Linked DNA regions of Rhinolophus ferrumequinum. The protein of the gene in region 1 interacts with the protein of each later gene in a pairwise test. Links are inferred from orthologs where the notes say so. Each region holds a gene or a part of one and is shown in the gene's direction. Other genes may lie near its edges.

Region 1 (6,855 bases):
GTATTATTATCTCCATTTTATAGGTAAACTAAAGCTTAGAGAGGTAAGTAACTTGCCCCAAATCACTTAGAAAATGTCAGAGCTTTAATCCAGGTCTGATTGACCCTGAATTCCATGTTATTTATCTCTAGGTTATGCTTCCTATTTTTGTTTCCCTCTTTTAATTTTCTTTGAAAAACATATTGTATGCATTTATAGTTTTGAATGGATAGTTATTCACATGGTAGAGAATTTTAAAAGTACAAAACAGTGGAAAGGAGGTCTCCTTCCTACCCCATCCTAGGACACACAGAATGGATAAACCACTCATTAGTTTCTTAAGCATCCTTCCAGATGAGTCTACAACTCATTAAAGATAATTTTCAGAAAAAGGCAAAATCATGCCTCTCGTACAGATATAAAATGGACACATGTTCAAGACTTCATTCTACTCATTAATCAACAAGGGAACCAGGCAGATGTCAGAATTAAAGAGAATCTGAAAACAGACACATTTGTAGATCAAGAATATTGAAATAAACATGTAAATAAAACAAAACTGGTTTTTCCATGGGGTGGGGAAAAGAAAGTCAATTAAACTTCTGTTGGACAGAAAGAATTTGCAGGTCTATAAGAATTATTTTGCATGCTATAAGTTACTACAATTTAGGGAGTTGTACAATAACTCAAAGATGATGAAAGGCAGACAATCTGAAAAAGGTGTACTGTATGTAAGGCAACATTTTTTCCCTCCCAAACCGATAACTACTTTATCAGGTTCTTAAGTATCCTCCAGGTTAGTCTCTAACATGCAAACATAAATGTACAGAAGGTGCCAAAAAAATGCATACACATTTTAGGAAAGGAAAACTGTATTAAAATTGTAATAATATATACCATAACAAACAATGAATACAAGTCACGTTTGACTTCTGCAATTACAAGAAGTGCTCAAAGTGGTTACCATCAGCGTGCAGGCACTTCTGATTACAGCGAACTACTGCTTGAGCAACGTTGACCAAAGTCTCCACTTGTATACATTTTTTTGGCACCCACGGTATCTACTGGAGTCTATAAATCACAGCTGAGGTGCCATATTGTCTATGGTGTCTGAAAAGTATTTTTTTCCCAACTCTTTTTCAGATGGTCTCTGTGACCTCTGGCAACAACAAGAGCTGTCAAAAAGGAAAGTCCTGCCTCATCCAAGTGTAGAAGATGACAATTTTTCCCTGTGAAGTCCCTGGAAGGGTCCTGACCAGGAACAAAGCACTGTCACACCTTCCAGCCAGGTACACTTCCCTGTTTGCAAAGGCCACAGCCATCATGGGGCATGAAAAAGCCCGACCCTGGGCAAGAAAGGAAAAGAGAGGGTTTGAGAGATAGCAAGTTAGTAAGTGCAAAGAGACTCCAGAGCCGGGGATCCTTACAGGGTTAGGCAGCTAAAAAAGCAGATGAGGCTGGGCAGGCCAGGAAAAACACTGTGGTGAGGACCGTGGTAAACTGGGACCTGCATTCCTGCTCTAAAGGAGCAACCCTGACTAGGCTCCAGCCAACCATTGCCGTGAGGGGTCATTGCCAAGTCTCCTGTTTTTAGAGAATCCAGGAATACAAATTTTTATGCAAAAACCTTTCAGTTTTAAAGAGAGAATATTGTAAAATTTAAATGTTATTGATTTTTGAAGAGGTAGTTTATTTACATGTTTCAAAAATTTGAAAGGAGGGGCTGGCCCGGTGGCTCAGGCAGTTGGAGCTCCAGTGCTCCTAATGCCGAAGGCTGCTGGTTCGATTCCCACATCGGCCAGTGGGCTCTCAACCACAAGGTTGCCAGTTCGACTCCTCGACTCCCACAAGGGATGGTGGGCTGTGCCCCCTGCAACTAACAACAGCAGCTGGACCTGGAGCTGAGCTGCGCCCTCTACAACTAAGACTGAAAGGACAACTTGACTTGGAAAAAGAACTGGATATACACACTGTTCCCCAATAAAGTCCTGTTCCCCTTCCCCAATAAAATCTAAAAAAAAAAAAATTTAAAGGAAATGGGATTTTAGTGAAAAGTGTTCCTCCCCATCCCATACCCAGTCACCTAGTTACCCTCCCCAAAGACCATCACAGTCTCTCATATCCTTCCAGACATGCTACAGGCATACAGAGGCAAATATTACATTATTATGACTATCACTTATTGTCCAAATATCAATTCATTACTCCTCACATTCACTATTATTAGCTCCACTTTACAGATGAGGAGATGGAGGCACCGACTGGTTAAGTAATTTGCCCAAGTTACTCAGCCAATAATAGTAGAGCTGGGACTGAATCCTGATTATTTATATCTGGGAATTACAATTTTCAAAGTTCCTCCACTTCTGTGAACTGAGCCTGGCAGTGGCCCTGGGAAGCAGGTGGGAGGTTCCACAGCCCACCCAAGGCCATGTGGCACTGGGGTGCAAATGTAGAACTAACAAGAGTCCAGGTCTCCTTGGGACTCATTCTTACACACAAAGGTCTGTACTGTGTAAGGATATGAAGGGCCATGCACATGGGCCTTCCAGCTGTGTGGGTGGTTAGGATCCATCCCAGGATGGGGAGGCTGAGCTAAATCCACGACTTTGAATTTACTCTGGGGATGCAGGACTTCTGTACGAGAAAGGAAGGTGCTGGACAGACTTTGTTCCACATTATGGAACTGCTTTCAGTTTCCATACATTGCACCTTTGCTTGCGCTGTTCCCTCATCTGGGAACACCCTCATCCCACGTTTTTACTCTAGCTAACTCACTATGCTTTGCAATTCACTTGGATTTTTTCTCTCCCAGGATACCTTTGCCCCCCCCTGAGGCTGCATCAGGTGACCCTCCTCCAGGCTCCCACAGCATCAGATGGTTCCCCATATATATCCTGTGCTTAACCACTTTGCATGAAAAATGCATTCATCCTCAAGGACAAGGAGCCCACTTTCTCATCGTGCTGTTCCCTAAAGTCAGTGCCTGACACTCAGTATAGTACATGCATGCTAATGCCCCCCCAACTGTTTTTCCAATCCTCACATAGTAGACACTTGACTAACTATTAAACCTAAGAACCCAAACCCTAAAGCAAGAGCGAATGGGTCCAAAAGCGCCTCCTTGCGGTGCTCTTCACCAAGCAAACCACCTGGGGGAAAGAAACGTCCTTGTATTTGGGCCACCGAAGGCTGCACCTCACAAAGGATCTCAAGCTGCCAGGGGAGGAGTGCTTGGAGGGCGTATAGTTTGCGTCGTCCCTACCCATTTTTAGAGATGGGGCATTGGGCCCAGAGAGGGGAAATAACTCGTCGAGGGGGCTCCGGGAATTCGCTGGCGTCTGTGTGTGTGTGGGGGGGGAGGGAGCCTCCGGGAATTCGCTGGCGGGTGTGTCTATCTGTGTGTGTGTGTGTGTGTGTGTGTGTCTTTGGGCCGCGGACTGATGGTGGAGTCCGCCGAACAGTCGGGAGCTGCGTTTGCATAGCCAACATCCTGTATTGACTTAGGGAGACTGTGTGTTTGGGGCGGCGGGGAGAATGGGGCCTCCCTGCACGGCGTCCGGCGGTGGAGCGTGAACCAGAATCCGCGCTGGAACCAGAACCCGGATGGGTAGACCCCAGCCCCGCGCCTCCGAGCGCTCACATACTGGTGCACAGCGCCCCCCAGTGGGATACAGGGATCCGGCCACGTCGCCTGCTCCTACGCCTTCGGGGTCCTCCGACAAAAAGCGCGAGATCCGGGGACCCGAGCCCACTGCGCCGCGGACCGGGCCGGGGCCCGCAGGGTCCAGCCCTCGGCGGCTCCCAGTGTCAGTCAAGGAGGCGGGGATCAGCTCCGTACCGCCCGGCGTGCGCACCAGTGGGCGGCGCGCGGGCGGGGCCCCCGGAGGTGGCGTCTCGGGGGCGGGGCGCCACCAAGCCGGAGGACAGTCTCGCTGGACTCGCTGGGTCCCACGCTCCGCGCCGAGATGACGGCGAGCAAGCGGGTGGCGAAGGTAACTGTGTGGACGACCCCTTTCTCCCGGCTCCCCTCGCTCTTCCCACCTCCTCCTCCCTCCTCTCTCTCCCCGACTCCCCTTGAGCATTTGTTTGTCCGGGTTGCGAGGCTGGCGGAGCCCTGTCATCCCCGCCCCCTCCCCGAGGAGGAGTGGGTCTTCCGGAGGGGCCAGAGCTGGAGTTTTGAGGGGCGAGGGCACGTCCGGCGGGGGTGTTGTTGGCTCCCGGAACTGCGCTGCGGATGGGGATTGAGCCTGTTCCCGCAAACTGGTTTCAGTTTCTTTTCTCCTGCCAGAAACTTGTGATTACAATTGCTTGCATCTCAGGTGACCAAGGGATTCAGGAGCCACGCTCTCTACTGGGGGTGGTTGGGGGGCGGAGGTGGGTGGGTTATGAACAGAGATAACCAGGACAAGGTCCTTGCCTTGGAATGGCCGAGGACCCACTCTTTAATTTGGTACCTACATTTGGAATCTAGAATCCTGAGAAGTCTGGATGTTGAGTAGGAGTCAGGAGCTAGGTACCCGGGGTTTTCCAGGGAGGAAAAGCTGCCAAGGCAGACCAGCAAGGTGTCCTGGAGTAGGTGTGTGCATTCACTCATTCTACAAGTGTTGAATGCCTACTGTGTGCAGGCTCCTATTCTAGGCAGAGATTAGCAAAAATCCTGCCCTCGCTGAGCTTTCTTTCCAAATAGGGAAACAATTTGAAGGGAAGGTTTGGAAGGATAGGGAGGGGAGGATTTCCCCCAGGAGGTGGAAAAACCCAGGGTGTTTGCAGGGCTGGGGTATACCGGGCAGATGGAGATAGATGGGGAAGGAAGAGCAATCTTAGTGAAGTGGGTCAGATATCCCCCGGACTTTGAGTCCCTGAAAAGTGCCCCTCCAACGTGCAGGGTGCAGGGGACAGAGTGAGGGGGGTAAAAGGGAGTGCCTGCTGTCCTCAGCCTCTGAGAAGAAAATGGTCTCATACTGGGGCACCCAGCGCAGGCGCAACCCAGAACTGGAGGCTGGCAGCAAAACGGGGCAGAGAATCTTGCCAGCCAAACTGGAAAGAGCTAGGAGCCAGTATTTGGTATTTATCCCACTGGCACAATTAAGTGACAAGCCATTTACATTACTTATTTCATCTTACTCTCACAGCAACCCTGTGACATAAGTCATATACCCCCATTTTACGGATGAGGAAGTTGAGGCTCAGAGAGAATGACTTAGATGTCATGGTCAGCCAGTAGGGAGTGAGGGAGCTGGGATTTGAGCCCAGGTTAGTGGCCTCTCTACTTTCATTTTCTGTTCCTCTGAGTCAGGTGATTTCCTCACAGGCCTCAGGAAAGAACTGTGTGTGCTCACTGGGGTTTCAACATCCTTAGCTTGGGGAAAAGTTGGAAAGAACACATCTATAACTGATAAAGTCCAAGTGTTCCCAGTTACAGTAAAATCAGGAAGTGTTCATCCCACAGCTTCTTCATTCAACCTTGGCCTTGCCAAAGAGAGCAGATGATATTGGAACTAGGACTTGAAGTAGCAGATGCTTCTAGTTTGGGGTAAAGATAAATGAGGGTAATGTCTAACCTCTATGCTGTACACCTGAAACTAAACATAGTATTTTTTTTTTAATTTTATTGGGGAATACTGGGGGACAGTGTGTTTCTCCAGGGCCCATCAGCTCCAAGTCGTCGTCCTTCAATGTAGTTGTGGAGGGCGCAGCTCAGCTCCAAATCCAGTTGCCGTTTTCAATCTCAGTTGCAGGGGGCACAGCCCACCATCCCATATGTGAATTGAACTGGCAACCTTGTTGAGAGCTCACGCTCTAACCAACTGAGCCATCCGGCTGCCCCTCTGGAAGCTCAGCGGCAGCTCATTGTCTTCAATCTAGTTGTGGAGGGCGCAGCTCACTGGCCTATGTGGGAATTGAACCGGCAACCCTGTTGTTCAGAGCTCGTGCTGTAACCAACTGAGCCAACTCGGCCGCCCCGAAACTAACATACTATTGAATGTCACCTGTAATTGGGAAAAAAAAAAGATAAATGAGGATCATAGAATATACTCTGGGCAGAAAACGCAAGAAGCAGTTTGTTGGTATGAACAGAGATGGAGTATGTGCTAGAAGCTAGCAATGGAGAACAGGGTGTGTTTATATATGGGGCCGTAGAGAAAGTTTAGGTGGTCCACAGTGTTAAAGGACCCCTCCCCAACCATGGAAGGGCTGTGGGAAGCTTCGTCTTTGCCTTTTATTTATACCAGTGTTCCTCAACCTCATCACCATTGACATTTGGGCCAGATAAATTGTTGTAGGATGTTTATGAGTATCCCTGGCCTCTACCCACTAGATGCTAGTAGCACTTTCTCATTTGTGACAACCAAAATGGTTCTAGATAGTGCCAAGTGTCCCCTGTGGGGGTAAAATTGCCCCCAGTAGAGAACCACTGGTTTACAATTATTTGGTGTTTCAGAGGATAAGACCTGCCCTTGAATGTCCTTTAATCTTGAATCTTGTAATTGCCCTCCCCCCCAATAAAAAGAGGCCTGTCGTTCCACAGGATGGACTCTGGAAGGGCTCCTTAGTCAAATAAGTTTGGGAAGTACCGCATGCTGTGGGCTCACATCTTGGAGATTCATGATACACAATAGCATATTAAATAAAGACTTTGGGAAGTCCTACAGTAAAGAAATCTGTTTAGCTTAATGTTTCCCAATGTACTTGACCATGGGACCCTTTTCCTGTAATAACTATTACCCTTGCCTATATAGTACACACTTATGCACATTTACTCTGACCGGGCCCTTTGTCTTGGTTCCTCTCCCCATTTCTGCATGGTGGGCTTTATTTTATTCCGCGTGGCCCAGCTCATTGTCACCCTGCACGAAGCCTTCTTGTTGCCTT
Region 2 (7,472 bases), on another chromosome or scaffold:
TGTTCATGTTCTTCAGAGATCCACCCAGGCCCTTGCTTCTTTCCTTACACATGATTTCTTTGAATGATCTCATCCACACCCATGGGATCAGTGACCTCCAGATTAATAAAGTCCAAATCAATGTATTTAGCAACTTACTTTCTCCTTGAGTATCATACTCTTATCAACTGCCTATTAGATTTCTTCACTCAATAATCACATCAATATCTGCAATTCAACATATTGAAAACTAAACCCATTCTCTCGAAAATCTCTCCTCTTTTTACTCCTTCATTTAATGGCTTTGTTGTCCACTTTGTTGCTCAAGTTTGAATATTTAAAGTCATCTCTGGCTTCTCTTTCTTCGCAACTCCCCACATCCAATCCCCTGGATTCCAAGCCTGTCTCTAAATGTCTCTCATCACATCTTTTCTTTCAGGCCACATCACCTCGCTCTATAACTGTTATAAAAGATTCATTACTGGTCTCTCCCTGAAGCCTTATCCTTACTGAAAAATTAGTTCACCAAACAAGGTAAAATTTTGCAAGTCTTACAGACTCGCTGGTGTGTTTGTGTGGTCAACACAGATTAGTCTTTTAAAACTCAAAACATCGTCTTCTCCATGAAGCATTCCTCGTATCTCTGAAGTTGAGACTCCTTCCCCTCCCCTGTGCACTGTGTTCCCTTAATACTTTGTTCATATCTTTATTACCGTACTTAGGCAGCAATTATATTGTAATTACTTATTTACATGTTTACTTTTATAGTAAACATCTGTTAAGTTGTCTGCCTAGAGTACTCTTTCTGAAGAGCTGCCTTCCTCCCAACCTCCTCACATACCCTTCCATCCTCCTCCCCAATCCTATGCTAGCCACCATCCATATAGTTACATGACGAACTCTCGTAGGCATGTTTTTACTTCATGACCCTGACACCCTGTTCTCCTTGACTGGGCAGCTGACCCAAGTAAGGCCACTTAGTCCCCTCCCTGGGAAACTGGAATTTAGATAGATTGAAGATGAAAGTGAATTAGGATAAGGGAAGAACAGAAATTCATGATTGTATTTAATTCCCAGTTCCAGATTGTTGAGGAAGCCTGTCTGCGTCCATGCCTCTGGCTTCCAGGTGACAGTTCTGTTACCTTTTAAGCAATTCCCTTCCCCCCTCCTTAAGTTATCTTGACTGCATTTCTGTTACTTGCAACCATAGAGTTCCTAAGTCCACTGACTGAATTCAAGTGTAAGGACCTTGCCTTGGTCATCTTTGTATATCCAGCACTTCCCATAGTAACATGGTAGACAGTATGACATAGATATAAAATGGGTAGTAGATACAAAAATATTTGTGAAATGAATGAGGAAAGAAAGGCAGAAAGAAAGAAAGACAGAAAGAAAGAAAAAGAGAGAGAGAGAGAAAGAAAAAGAGAAAGAAAAGTGAACAGTTTTAAAATAAAAAGAGAAGAGAAATAGAAATGAAAAAATACGAAGGAAAATTGAGGCGAATAGAATTGAAATGAGAGAGAGAGAAAGCCACAAATAACAACAACAAAAGAATCATGAAGAGCATGATCTAGGGGTAAAATGCCAGGCTGTCCTGCTCTAGCTCTGCTCTCCTAAGTTGAGCCAGCCCTTCCCCCTTGCTTTCACCTCTGCCCATCTGTCTCAGTCAGAAGGGAGGATCCAGCAGGGGAGCCCTGTCACCTCAGAGCACCCTTGCCCTGGCACTCATGCTTTCCATGAGATCTTCTGTTTACAGCCCACCATGGTTACAGCGAAATAATTCAGCTCCCAGTGGCAGCCATAGATGTCTAGAACTTAGTGAAGCTAGAGAGCGTGGCCTAGTAACTAGAAGGAGCACGAACTTTGAACCCACTTTTGAACAGATGGGTTCAAATTGAGGAAGGTCAGAAAATGATTAGATAGGCGGAGTGAAAGATGGTAGGAATAAAATAACTTTCCAAAGGAGAAGAAAGCTGGGGTAGGAGCATGCTGGTGTGCTGTTACACAGTAGGAAATTTAGAATATAAAAGTGATTTCTCTGTGTCAAATTTTTCTTTAATTTATTCCACTACTGTTATAAATCAACATTCTTTTTTGCCCTTGAACTGTATGAGATAGTTACTATATAAAAAAAAAAAATACTTCATTAAAAAAACCCAAACAAACCATTTTCTCTCTATCTCTAATTTGTACTTCTATTGTTTCTCAGTTGTTCACCACAATTGACTCTCCTCCCTCCACACCTCTCTTCAGGAAAAGTGTGTCTCTCTAGGGACTTGTCATGGGACTGAACTTAGATTCCACAAACAGGCGCATCTGTACGCTAGTATTCAGTGATCATCTGCCCCTCCCAGAGCTCTTCTCCCTGATTCCCTCTCATTCCTAACCCCATCGTCATTTGAGAAAGACAACCTCTGCAGCCAGTAGTCTTTCTCAAGCAAAAATCTGATCGAGCCATTACCTCGCCTACAACATTTCAATGCTACCCCGTTGTCTATGGGATACAGTGCGTTTTGAAAACGTGGCCTAGAAGGCTCTCCATGATCTTGCCTCTGCTTACCTCTGCAGCCTTGTTTCCTATTCTTCCTCGCAGCCACTCACACTGCCACCCATAAGAAGAAATCCAGCCATAAAGAACTTCTTTAAATTTTTTGAATTGCCCTGTTCTTTCTTACCTTTGGCTTTCCATGCTTTACCCCTACTGGAAAACTCTTTCTCCTCCTAGTCTCCTTTCCCTGGTCAAATGACTCTCACTCTTCATGTCTCAGCATAAAAGTCACTTCCTCTGGGCTTCATGTATACTGCTTTCTGTGTGTGCCGTCCTCCATCAGAGAATCTACTTTTAACAGCCTGTGTACTTGTCTGTCCCCCTATTCAGTTTGGTGAAGTTGGGGAAGTTGCCTTTCTTGTTAACTTTTTTATCCCTAGCACCCAGCAGTGTCTTGAACTAGCAAGCATTCAATAAGTATTGGCGGAAGGAATAAGAAATCTTTGTGCTAACCTTGCACTACCCCTCTTCCTATATCACCCAAGCTGGTCCTTTCAGTTGCAATAACTTGTTTGATGAGTTCATCATCTGATAACCACCTCCTGCCCAATATAGAAGCCTGACAATTCTAGTATGTATCCAATTTTTTCCAGTCCTCAGATTAGAAAATTATCTGATCAAGGTAATGGGTTAATGGATTAATATGGAGTCTCTCATAGGTATTTTGCATTATCAGGGCTCTGTAATAAACTGGTTGCTTCTCATTAGGGTTTCCAGGCGAGAATTCCCTCCCGTTCGCAGGAATTTTTTTCGCTTTCCCCGTTCCCGAATCCCGAGAAAAATTGGTCGGGAAATCAGGAAAATCGGCTCCTTGAACCCAAGTGGTTGGTAGTATTGGCCATCACTTTGTGGAAACGATTCATTGTGGAGAATAGAAAACAGTTTATATCTCGAGATTTGGGAAAGGGAAAGCGGAAAAAAATTCCTGAGAATGGGCGGGAATTCCCCACCTGGAAACCTTACTTCTCATGTTAGTTCCTAGCATCTTTGAAATTATAGCATGACCGATTATGAGTAATGCTATGCCGCCTCTATCCTACTCCACAAATATATAGTATAAGGATAGGTAAATGAATGAATGAATAAATGGACTGCCATTTAACTAATCCCTTCACAGTCCCACTGGGGATTATGTCACTCCAGCTCCTGAGTCTTAGTGATACAACGGTGTTTTCATTGATCCCTTCGAATCGTTTTTACCTTTTATGTTATTCAGTATGCTCTGCTCATTGCTAGTTCCCTCGCTGTTAAAACTCTGAGTACATCCACTTGTTCCTTTTCAGAACTTTGACTTTGGAATTGCGTCTCTTCTAAGTGAGAACAGAGGCTCTGGGCATGCTCAGTAACCAAAGCCAGGTGTAATTAACTGCTCTGGCCCAGACTGGGGAGCCCTGACAGGTGGCAGGCATTGACAGTGATGGCAAAATAGACTTGCCAAGACTTGTACAGCTGAACATATTTTCTCCGAGGCCAATCTAACATTCTGGCAACCTAAGTTTAAATAGTGGGGACGTCAGGTTTTTACAAACAATAAAACGGAAGGAGTTATTTTGGAAAAATTAAAATGACTGGCAGGAGATTCTCAGAGCACAATCTACGTGTTAAGTGATGTGGTTAAGACAGATGAGGACAGAGACGGTGTGTGTGTGTGAATGGAAGCCGTGCCTGTCTTGAACCTCACTGGGCAGATCAAAGATATTTTAAAGGATTTTCTGAGATCGCCCAGAATTTCAAGGATTCCAGTCGCTGCCTCCTTGCTAAGAGAGCGCGTTTCTGGGGGAGGTGTGTGCGTGCACGCGCCGGGGGAGGGCAGGCTCGGAGAGGGGCCACCGCTCTCCGGAATAAACAGCAGGGGGAGAAGGGGAGCGCGGCAAAACGCTGCCGGAGGGGAGAGGAGGCAGGCTGCAGGGGGAGGGCGGGAGAAGCGGGCCGAGACGCGCTCAGGGGGTTGGAAGCAATTCACCCGAATGTCTCGGAGACCCGGGACGGCTGTCGGGCAGAGCTGCCAGCGGACACCCAGCGGCACGCGCCCTCGCTGGGACCCTGCGCTCCCGGGTCCCCCGCTCCGCACTCCGACCTCGCGCGCAAGGTAAGGAGGGGTGCGGCGTGCCGCCCTCCCTGGAGCGCGGCCAGGCTAGCGTACCAGGTGCCGTTCGGCCTCCTCAGGTTGTCACCTCCTTCTTCCTCCCTCGCCCCCTCCCGGGTTCTCCTCGGCACCCGGAAGCCCTGGGCGATCGGTCGGCAGGGACTCGGACCCTCGGTCATCCCGGCTTCTACTTCGCGGTGCGGGGGACCCGTCTCCTTCCCAACCTCACTCCCCCCACCCCGCCCCGGGCAGCTCCCCGACACCGACGCCCTAGGGGAGCATCTCACCAGGTGCGTGCGGCGCAAACACCCGCGGTTCCCCTCCAGTATGCCACGATTTCCAGGCTGAAATATCACAGATCCTCTCCTTCCAAAATATACCTGCCCACCCCCCGGCCTTCTGTAATCATTCTAACTTTAGGGGGATATTCGCCCTTGGTCAAGGTAGGTATATCGTCTTATCTTTTGTATCTGCACCAAACAATAGGTTGAGGGTCTTCGGGGTTTAATTTTCCTGAAAATCAAATACTGTGATAAGTTTAGAAGGTTTTCTGGGTGACTGCGGTGCTAGAACTTTGTAACAGCCTAAAGCAATAAGGTCCTAGTCCGGAGCTGAGATCCTGATTCAGAAATCTGTGTATATATTTAAAAAGCACTCCAGGTGATTGCGATACGTTCTCCCCGCATCAGCACTTGGAAGTATCTGTAAGGCCCGCGTAGGAGGGAGAGGAGGTATTTGGAAGTCTCATCTGGAAGATGGGTGTGTCAGGAGAGAATAAAAACAGAGTTATAAGCTGGTTCCCTTTTAGTTGATAAATTTGGTGGGATACCATTGGTTCAGAGATGGCAATTTTGGAAAGGGAGAGTCATTGGAAACAGCTAGAGGGTGGAGAGAGGAAAATACAGTAGTTCTAAGAACCCTTGTTAAAGAGTTCGATTTTAAACATCAATTTTTAAAATGTAAGAATTCCTTGACAAGTACTTTGGCGATGAGAAAGGGCTGAGGCCTACACTCATGGCAATCAGAAAATCTTGCTTCACTGTATTTGCACCGACTGACTTTCTGTCAATGACCACTAGCATTTTTGCAGGCTGGTTACTTTAAATCTAGAGACAGAAATGGACTATTATCTCTAGGAACCAGAAGGAGGAATTATCATTTAAATTTAGATCCTGTTTACATTCCTAATTATTTGAACCAAGCTCTTTTACCCTGAATTGGTTAAGAGTGTCTAAATTATATTGTATTTGAATTTACACATATAACTGAATATTTCTCCGTCTTACACTTTGTGACAGATGTACATCTGCTGCTTTTCATATATATCTGTATATGTACCTGAACCATTTTAAGTACCTAACAAACTCTCAGAGTATAACTGCCAGGCAAAATAAAGATTTCTATTTGTCTTTTGGAAAATTGAGGTGGAGGACTAACTTTTTAAAATACCATGAAGTAGGTATACTATTAAATCATACAACTTTCAACAAAATGAGATGCTTGTTATGAAATAGGGATGGTATTTGGTACCTGCTTTCAAGGATATTTAGGACAAGCAAGAGACCGTCTGTAAAGCATTTTGAACTTTAAGAGAAGAGTCATTGTCTAGGTATTGAGCCAGTGTGATTGTTTTCCTGGCAAACTTTTTCTTCTTTCTAAAATTAACTTTCCCTTAGGAAAAGATAGTGCAGAGGCACACGATTCAGCAGCTAACTAGGTCCAGAAAATACTGTTTGAATTTTAAAAGTGACCTTAATTCATCCCTACAGATCTGGTGTTTGCAGCCTATGTCACAAAATATGCAGAAATATTCCTTGTTTGCTGACCTTTTCAAAGCATTGGCTTAATGAGGGGAGTTATGGACAGGGTACAAATTATGTTCTGAATTTTGTTGGCTTAGGCAAAATTATTATCTTTTTTTTCCTAAGGTTTTTTGTGTATATGTGTGTACACTGGGTCCGGGACTTACATAATTATGTATATATATGTAACACATGTTTTTAATAGGAGCAAAACCCACGATATTTTTCTTTGTGGCAGAACACTGTAAGCATTAGGTTTTGATTACTTTTTCATGGAAATTTTAATATGACAGAACTAAAAACTTCAAGGAAATAATTCCATAAAGATCTATTTGGAACTGAAGGCCTTTTTAATAAAACATGTTTGAAGCCCTTAGTCTGTGTGCTAAGCATACTTATAGCAGTCCTTGGTGAACCAGTAAAGGTGGTAGATCCAATTCTGGCAGCTTCAGACAGTGGATGATTAGACCCTGCCATTCTTCTCCAGACCTTTAATTTGGTCTGTAACTTGATGCTTCACTGACCCCACACTCTCCCTGCCACTCTAGCTCACAGAGGAATTGCTGGCACTCTGGACTGAATTTTTTCCCTCCCATCAATTAGAACAAGTTTGCGTTGGTTGCAGAATGCAGTTACATTTTTAGCTCAGTATTCTAGGAAATACCTTGGGCCACGAAGAGAGTAGTCTTAGTGTAGCCTAGATCACAAATTGCCTTATTTAATTGTGCTGTTAATTTCCCAGTGATTCAACTATGCAGAAATAATAGTCCTAGAGTACTAAAATTGGAAAGCACTTTAGAAGTCATCTAGATTCTGATCCTTTTTACCGGTGGATACTGGAGCACTTATAGCCATAATCCACACTTTGAGAATATCCATTAAATTATATATTCTTTCCAGTTCTTGTAGTAATGAAGACTTTACTCATTTTAAATGAATATATGTATATGAGTTCAATAATGTAGGAATGGCAGCGAAGTATGTCACACATCTCAGCCAGATTTCTAATGAAACTCAGTGTGATGCTAAAAGGGATGTGGGTCACTTACAAAGGTGC
Region 3 (7,201 bases), on another chromosome or scaffold:
CTCTGAATATCTGGAATTGAGTCCTGACACAAGTCTTTAAAACTCTGTGACTGAGTTTGAGAAGCACCCATTGTTAAGAATTTCCAAGATAGAAGTGTTCGAGTTTGGCAAAGAGATAGCCCACAAGTTGTAAAGTAAGGTTGCATAATACCTGAAACACAGGTATAAGATGATTGTTGTTAAACTGTTTATCTGGGTCCCTGTCCTCAAAGGGCTTCAGTCTGGCTGGGGAGAAGAATCTCAGACATTGGAACAAGAAGGAGCTGTTAGGAGGGAGCTCAGGTGCAAAGCAGGTTGTCAGTTCTGGTTGAAGCCTGACATTTCCTCCTGACTTCCTACCCCAGTGAATACTGTTGTCTTTGTTTCCCACAGATTATGGGGAATTTTCACCATGAGAGGGCAGTACTGTGTTAGTGTCCAGGGCACACATTTACTGAGCACTTCTGATTTGTAAAACTACTCATCGCTAGATTAACCTCAGGAGTTTTATTGGACAGAAGGCCCAAGAGTCACAATTTGGTAATGGGACCTTGTTTCTTTTATTTATATTTTGTAACACTCTGGCTGCAGAGGAGGAGCTAATTTAGAGTCAGTTTGCACTCAGAGCAATTTCAGGAAGAGATGGTATTTGATATAGATAGAACAGCCCTCCTGGTAAAAATCCAGTAAACCTACCCACCTCCATGACAGACCTCAATGTGGACTCAACTCAAGCCCACCAGTAAAACGTAATCAATAATCCACTATACAAATGGTCTTCCTGCTTCCTGATGTGGTTAGCCTTACACACCGCTAGAAAACTTACCTGAAATTTAATCTATGTCATTCCCTGGCCAAAAAAGCTCCTCAGTTCTTTATTGCATCAGAATAAACTACAAATAGCTCAGGGGCAATCGGAGCTTTTCATAGTTTCATGCTAGTTTACTTCTTCAACTTTGTTTTCCCCTAGACTATATCTTCATCTCTGAGCAAACTGAGCTTCTCCTGATTTACCATACAGATCTGCTACTTAACTGCCCCTTTTCACATATTTTCCTCTTTAGCACAGGTGTCTTTTCTCTCTCCACTCTGTAACATGTTGATACAAGAGGTGTATCTGAGTTGCTACCATATGCTAGACATCGTCCAACCAGTGGTTCTTAGCCATTTGTGGGGAGGAAAATCCCTGGCACCCTCTCCCCAGAAAAATGTACATATGCACATGTACCTCCAGGTTTGCTTTCAATTTCATGGGAACTTGAAGCTGTCCTTGGACTCCAGATGAGAAATCTTGTTCCTAGACCCTGGGAATCAAACATGAAAAAGGGGCTAATTTTCCCAATGTCTATCCTTCCTTTCTTCTCTTTCCTTCTTTCTTAGCTCAAATTCCACGTCTGGGCTGAAATCTCTCCAATTTCTGTGCCTCTCATGGGCTCCAATCCTGCCTCTCTAGCTGCCCAAAGAGATCTTGAACTCAGTACACCTGAAAGTAAGTGATATCCAGGAAAAAGGAACCAGATAACAGATCCATATATACACGGGAACTTAGATCATCATAAAGGCGCTTTTCTAAATAGTGGATAAAGAATGATCTATTCAATAAACGGTGTTGGGACAACTGACTCTCTACACATCCTACCAAACACAAATTCTGGATGGATTTAAGAGCTCAACCTAAAAAACAACAATATAAAATATAAGCATTTTGTACATGTCCTTCCAGGACCCTTTCTATGCATCTACATATGCATTTATATCTAATAGGTACACACACAAACACACATTTACACAAAACCTTTTTCATTAAAAAAAAGCTATTGTAAATATAATTCCGCTTTTTTACTCAGTGAAAGGTGCTATTATCCCCATTTCACAAATGAGAAATCTAAGTCATAGAGAGGTAAGTTTCCTTGCGCAAGGTCACTCTGCTAGGAAGTTGCCAAACTGGGATTCTCACCCTGGCTATCTGGCTCCAGACCCTACCTTTTGTAGGCCTCTAAGGCCAAAGCCTATGAGAGAGAGCTTTGGAGGGTTTTGAACAAGGAAATGACATGTTTTATGCTTTAAAAAGATCTCTTTAAACAACGGAGAGAACAGATTTAGTAGAGCAAGGGTGGGTAGATGCACGGAAACTACCTTAGTTAAGCGACCTGCTCACATCCAGGGACATATTGTGATGGCTTGCTCTGGAGCACCAGGTGGTGGGAAGTGCCTAATCAGGACATATTGTGGAGGTATGGCACGTAGGAATTGCTTATGGATTGAATGTGGAATTTGAAAGGGAAAGAAGAGTCATGGGAGACTGGTGAATTTTTGGTCTGAGTAAATAGTGAGAGATAATGACATCACTGAGCTCAGAAACACTGGGCGGGGGGTGCGGGGAAATGCCAAGTTTGGAGATAAAATTGAGTTTTGTTTGGGACATGTTAAATCTGAGTGCTAACATGACATCCCAGTAGGGGTGTTGAATGGACAGTTGAATGTATTGAGTGTGGAGTTCAGGGGATTAGGTAGGCCTAGAAATAAAAGCCTAGAAGTCATCAGTGTATTGGAGGTACATACTTAATTAGGCAAAGAGCTTGGATAAGGTCATTAGAGAGTGAGGGTAGATGGAGCAGAAGCTGAAGATGGAGCCCACCGACTCTCCTGTGCAGTACTCCTCACAGCAATTTCATACTTACTTAAATATTCCTCTAATTTCTGAATCCGCTACTAGGCCAAAGCTCTTTGACTGCAGGGACCATGGTCTCCTGCCCTCTCCATTAAATCTAACAACATGGTACCTGGCCTATAGCTGGGCTCAAAGAATCAAAGGCATTTTTCAAAGGTGATTTGGCTGTATCTATCACAATGTAAACTGAGCATAGAAGTTTACTCACTAATTCCATTTCATTTTCCAAAAATTCCGAACCATTTTCACATCTATGCAAACAGTAGTACATCCAAGGGTGTTCATTGCAGCACCAGTTGTCATTTCACCTGAGTGAAAAATCAGAAACAGATGACCTGCAAAAGGAGCGTGGTAAGATGACAGTATAATCACACTAGGAAATATTGAAGATGTGGTAGGCTCAGGAGCCAGACGGCCAGGGTTAGAAGCTTAGCTTGGCCACTTCCTAACTTTAGAGCAATTACCACACCTTCCTGTGTCTTAGTTTGCTAATTTGTAAATTGGGAATAATAATAGGACCTTCTACTAAATGAAGAAAGCAGGATGATATTTATAACAGCCTGTTAAATTTTTTAGAACTTTGTATAAATATATGTGTATATGTGTATAAATACAGATATGTATGTAGATGCACAGAAAAGGGTCCTGGAAAGATGTGCACCAAACTCTGGAAAATGGCAGCAATCCTGGATAGGGTAGAGAGTTGGAGTGAGTTAATGGGAATATTCACATGTTGCTATCAACACTGTTGTATAAATTTTTCACAACTTTAATGTATCAATATATTATCGTGTAATTAAAATCAATAAAGGCAAAGATGAAAGACATATGTATGATATATATGTAACATATGCTACGTGACAGATTACATTTTCCAAAGATGGCCACACCAACATGTATCCCATTCCATATGTTCTTCTTACAGTGTGATATCGTGTTGGTATTCCTCCATCAGGGGTAGGGTTTCATTTCCTCTCCTTGAACCTGAGAGGACCTTTGCTTGGACCAATAAGATGTGGTAGAAATAATGCTGTGTGACTTCAAAGGCTAAGTCATAAAAGGAGATATGGCTTCCACTTGGTTCTAAGGCACTTATCCTTGGAACCCAGCCACCATATTTCCAGAAAAACAAGGTCACATGGAGAGGTTGTGTATACGTGTTCTGACTGACAGTCCCAGCAAGGCCACTACCAGATGCACGAGTAAATAACTATTCCTGTAATTTTAGCTCTCAGAGTTTGAATCTTCTAGCTGAGGCCCCAGACACTGAGGAGCTGAAATAAACCATTCCCCCAGATTCCTGTAAACTGTCCAGATTCCTGTCCCACAGAAACCATGAGAGTTTAGATATATTTTACACACATATATATTTTGAAAATGGAATAGCACATTGTTTCACATCCTAGTCTTATCACTGAAGAATGTATCATAAGTACCTTTCCTTGTCAAGAGGGGCCTTTGTATAGCATGATTGTTGATGGCTTTCTTTATTGTATATTTTACCATAATTTAACAAACCCTTACTTTTGGACGCTTGGGATGCTGCAAACTTTTTCCTGTTAGAATCATCATTCCAAAGCACATAAATGCGCACAAATTTTTATGTGTATCCTTAAATGTTTTGGCTTAATTTTTAAATTTACTTCCTGGGGAGAGATTGCCACTAGTTAAAAATATTATCATCAACCCAATAAATGTTTATTTAATGGAGTAATACTGAAAACAAGGTTGGATCTGTGCCCTTAAGAAACTCACCTTCACCAGGGGAAAGACACATGAACAAATAAAGAGGATTCCAATATATTGTACATGCACCAGTATGCTTGTGACCTCATTCTCTATTTAGCAAGTGCAATAATGCTACAGAAAGACTGATTGTTCCCCTTATTCACTGGAATTTATTACCAGCAACCCAAAGTGAGAGCTTCTAATTGACATTTCATTTGCAGAAAATATAATTTGGACCCTTTGCTAGTATAATTTAAAGGGATATGTTTTCTCAAAACAAATGTATTAAGGTACACTGGATGATAGACTTTTATGTTGCTAAATACCAAATTCATAATCCTACAATATATTACTCATTGCTATTAATTTTCACTCCAAATTAATTTGGGGCTTTCCAGTATGTGTTTGACTGCATCTGATCTTGGTCCATGTTCTGTGTTAAAACTGGAAGCTGAAACCCGTATGTAAGAAATACATGAGTGCATACAAGAAGCAAGCACTAAATTAGAGAGCCCGTTACACATCATTTGTCTCGAATATCAGTACATACACGACTGGTGTACGGGTGGAAATCGTTTGGATTATCTACGGACTTGCACATCCCAATACAATGCCTAACATCACCAGCTTCACACTGGCGTTTGCACTCGTGCAGCAGCAACCTGAGTGAGCCTCCGTGGCTCGCTCCATCCATAACACTTGACAACAGGTCCTAGTAGGTACTAGAAGTCATAACTGGCACTTCTTATACTGTTTGAAGAAACTGGGCAGCAAGGCAATTAAGAGTCAGCCTTGTACAGTCACTGGAAAGCCGAAGAACTGGGCGGCGAATCCAGTTGAGGAAACGGGAGTGAAAACCCGGCGAGGTCCTGCGGCTCGGGGGCCAACAGGCCACAACCTGAGCGTAGGCGGAATTCCGGCCCGGCGCGCTGACCCGAAGGCCCTGTTCTCCTTCGTCCAGCGAGCCGAAGGGAAACAACAGTCCTTTACCAACTCCACCGACGTCAGGATGTCTTCCCGGTACCCGACACTCGAGTTTACAAACAGTGAAGTAAGGAGTCCATCAGAAAAACGCGGGTTAAAAATATCCTGGCGGGCAGCGCTGGGAGGCGAAAGCCAGAAGCGATGCCGTGACTGCGCTCCAGTAAGCCGAGCCCTCTCGTCTGCTGCCTCTCGCAGCCCTCCGCGCCGGCCGTGCCCTGGTCAGACCCCGGGATCCAGCGCCGGGATACCACAGAGCGCCAGCAGAGGGGTACTATTACCCAGCGCACGCCTCGACCCCTGCGACCGCGGGTCGACCCCGGCCCGGAAGTGACGCAACCACGCCGAGCACTTCCGGAGCGGCGGAGACGGCTCCGCTGGAGGAAGCGACGCGGGCCTTGACCGGCGTCGGCTTGCCGCGTCCGCCGCCGCCGCCGCCGCCGCGCTTGTGTCCGATCCCTCTGGCCCCGCCCAACCCGGTCTGGCCCGTCCGGGCTCAGCGGCCGCGGGGTCGCGCCTTCCGGTAAGTGTGAAGCGCGAATCGTGGCCTTGTTTACCCGGCGGGTCGGGGGAGGGGGTGGGCTTTCCGTGCGCCTCCCTAGCCCGACTGGGGCTCCGCCTTCGTCGCCGCCTGCGAGGCCCCGGCGTCCGCGGTCGCCGGTACAGTCTCAGCGCCCCCCGCCGTCCGCGGACGGACGGCTGAAAGCTACGGCCGGGGCGGCCGAGCGCCTGGCGTCTCCGTTATTCCTTCTTCCGCCGCCTTCTCAGCTCGCGGAGAGGTCGGAGGCCGTCGCCTCTGACCGACTGGCGCCGGCCTATCTGGGCCCTCCCCACCGGGCGCGCCGGGGAAACGCGCCACCTCCGGGGCTCCCCGCTCAGGTCATTATGGAGAGCTCTCCCAGGGCCGCCCGCGCGATTAGTTAACGCCCGCTTCTGAAGGGTCCCCCAGCGCGTGAGTTCCGTGTCCTCGCGGATGTCCCGGCGCCTCGGCAGGGACCAGTGGCCCAGGAGCTGCGCCGCGGTGGTAGCCGCCGGAGAGGCAGCCGCCTTCACGGATGACTTCACCTCCGTACGGGTTGTTGCTCTGTCCCGTAGAACTTTGTCACAGTGGACATATTCTATGACTTTGCCACACGTAACCATTGTGGCTAGTGTGACTGAAAAACCAAACTTTAAATTGTATTTAAGTTTTAACTTAACCACTTGTAGCTAGTGGCTACCCTGTTTGACAGTGCGGGCATTAGGGTAGGGTGTTGAAACCAAGTTGCTGGTTCATATTTTTGTACCAAGTAGTTCTCTTTGGAAATGTCGGCTTAGTAAAGGACCATTCGGTGCTAAATACTATATATGAAGTAAACACCGTCAGATTCACACAAAAAAGTCCGTTTTATTCTTGTCAACTTGAAAACTGAGTCGTCTTCAGCTTAGCTCCCTTAGTCCAGGGTGGGTGTCAGGTCTTCTGAACACATAACTTTGTGGGGAAAAGTAATTTCTTTTACTCCCTTTCGGACTGGGATGTAGGGATAATATTTAACATCTAAGAAATTAAAAGCATTGTCATCATTTCTGCTAATAAGGCAATAACATACTGTCCCCTTTGAGCTATGTCAGCGCTAGGAATATTTAACTTTGGCAAGATTGAAAATTAAGTGTTTATTTAAATCTGGACCTAGAATACCCAGTAAGCACGAATGGCCTTCTCTTTTTTCAGGTTCCCCTTTAGGAGAGGAGCCTTGATTCTTGAATATTTAGTTGGTGAGGAGTCTGGGCAGCCTCTAAACCCAAATCCTGGGGAGAAGTCCAAAGAAAGTGAAAACATGCTCTTTTGCTGTGATTCTGGAG

What was found. The genes of interacting proteins can lie anywhere in the genome.
Region 2: the proteins of UBE2L6 (region 1) and RNF144B interact in binary tests that used the Homo sapiens proteins (3 or more experiments, as listed by UniProt). The link is inferred for Rhinolophus ferrumequinum from reciprocal best matches to the Homo sapiens genes UBE2L6 and RNF144B.
Region 3: the proteins of UBE2L6 (region 1) and ARIH2 interact in binary tests that used the Homo sapiens proteins (3 or more experiments, as listed by UniProt). The link is inferred for Rhinolophus ferrumequinum from reciprocal best matches to the Homo sapiens genes UBE2L6 and ARIH2.

What each region holds. Positions count from the first base shown.
Region 1 is NC_046294.1:11,574,529-11,581,383, forward strand, and holds the start of UBE2L6 (ubiquitin/ISG15-conjugating enzyme E2 L6), read left to right. Parts: upstream 1-3,844; 5' UTR 3,845-3,947; coding exon 3,948-3,974; intron 3,975-6,855. UniProt on the Homo sapiens protein: Catalyzes the covalent attachment of ubiquitin or ISG15 to other proteins. Functions in the E6/E6-AP-induced ubiquitination of p53/TP53. Promotes ubiquitination and subsequent proteasomal degradation of FLT3.
Region 2 is NC_046292.1:76,829,472-76,836,943, reverse strand, and holds the start of RNF144B (E3 ubiquitin-protein ligase RNF144B), read left to right. Parts: upstream 1-4,466; 5' UTR 4,467-4,616; intron 4,617-7,472.
Region 3 is NC_046300.1:7,302,143-7,309,343, reverse strand, and holds the start of ARIH2 (E3 ubiquitin-protein ligase ARIH2), read left to right. Parts: upstream 1-4,195; 5' UTR 4,196-5,882; intron 5,883-6,002; exon of another isoform or gene 6,003-6,238; intron 6,239-7,201.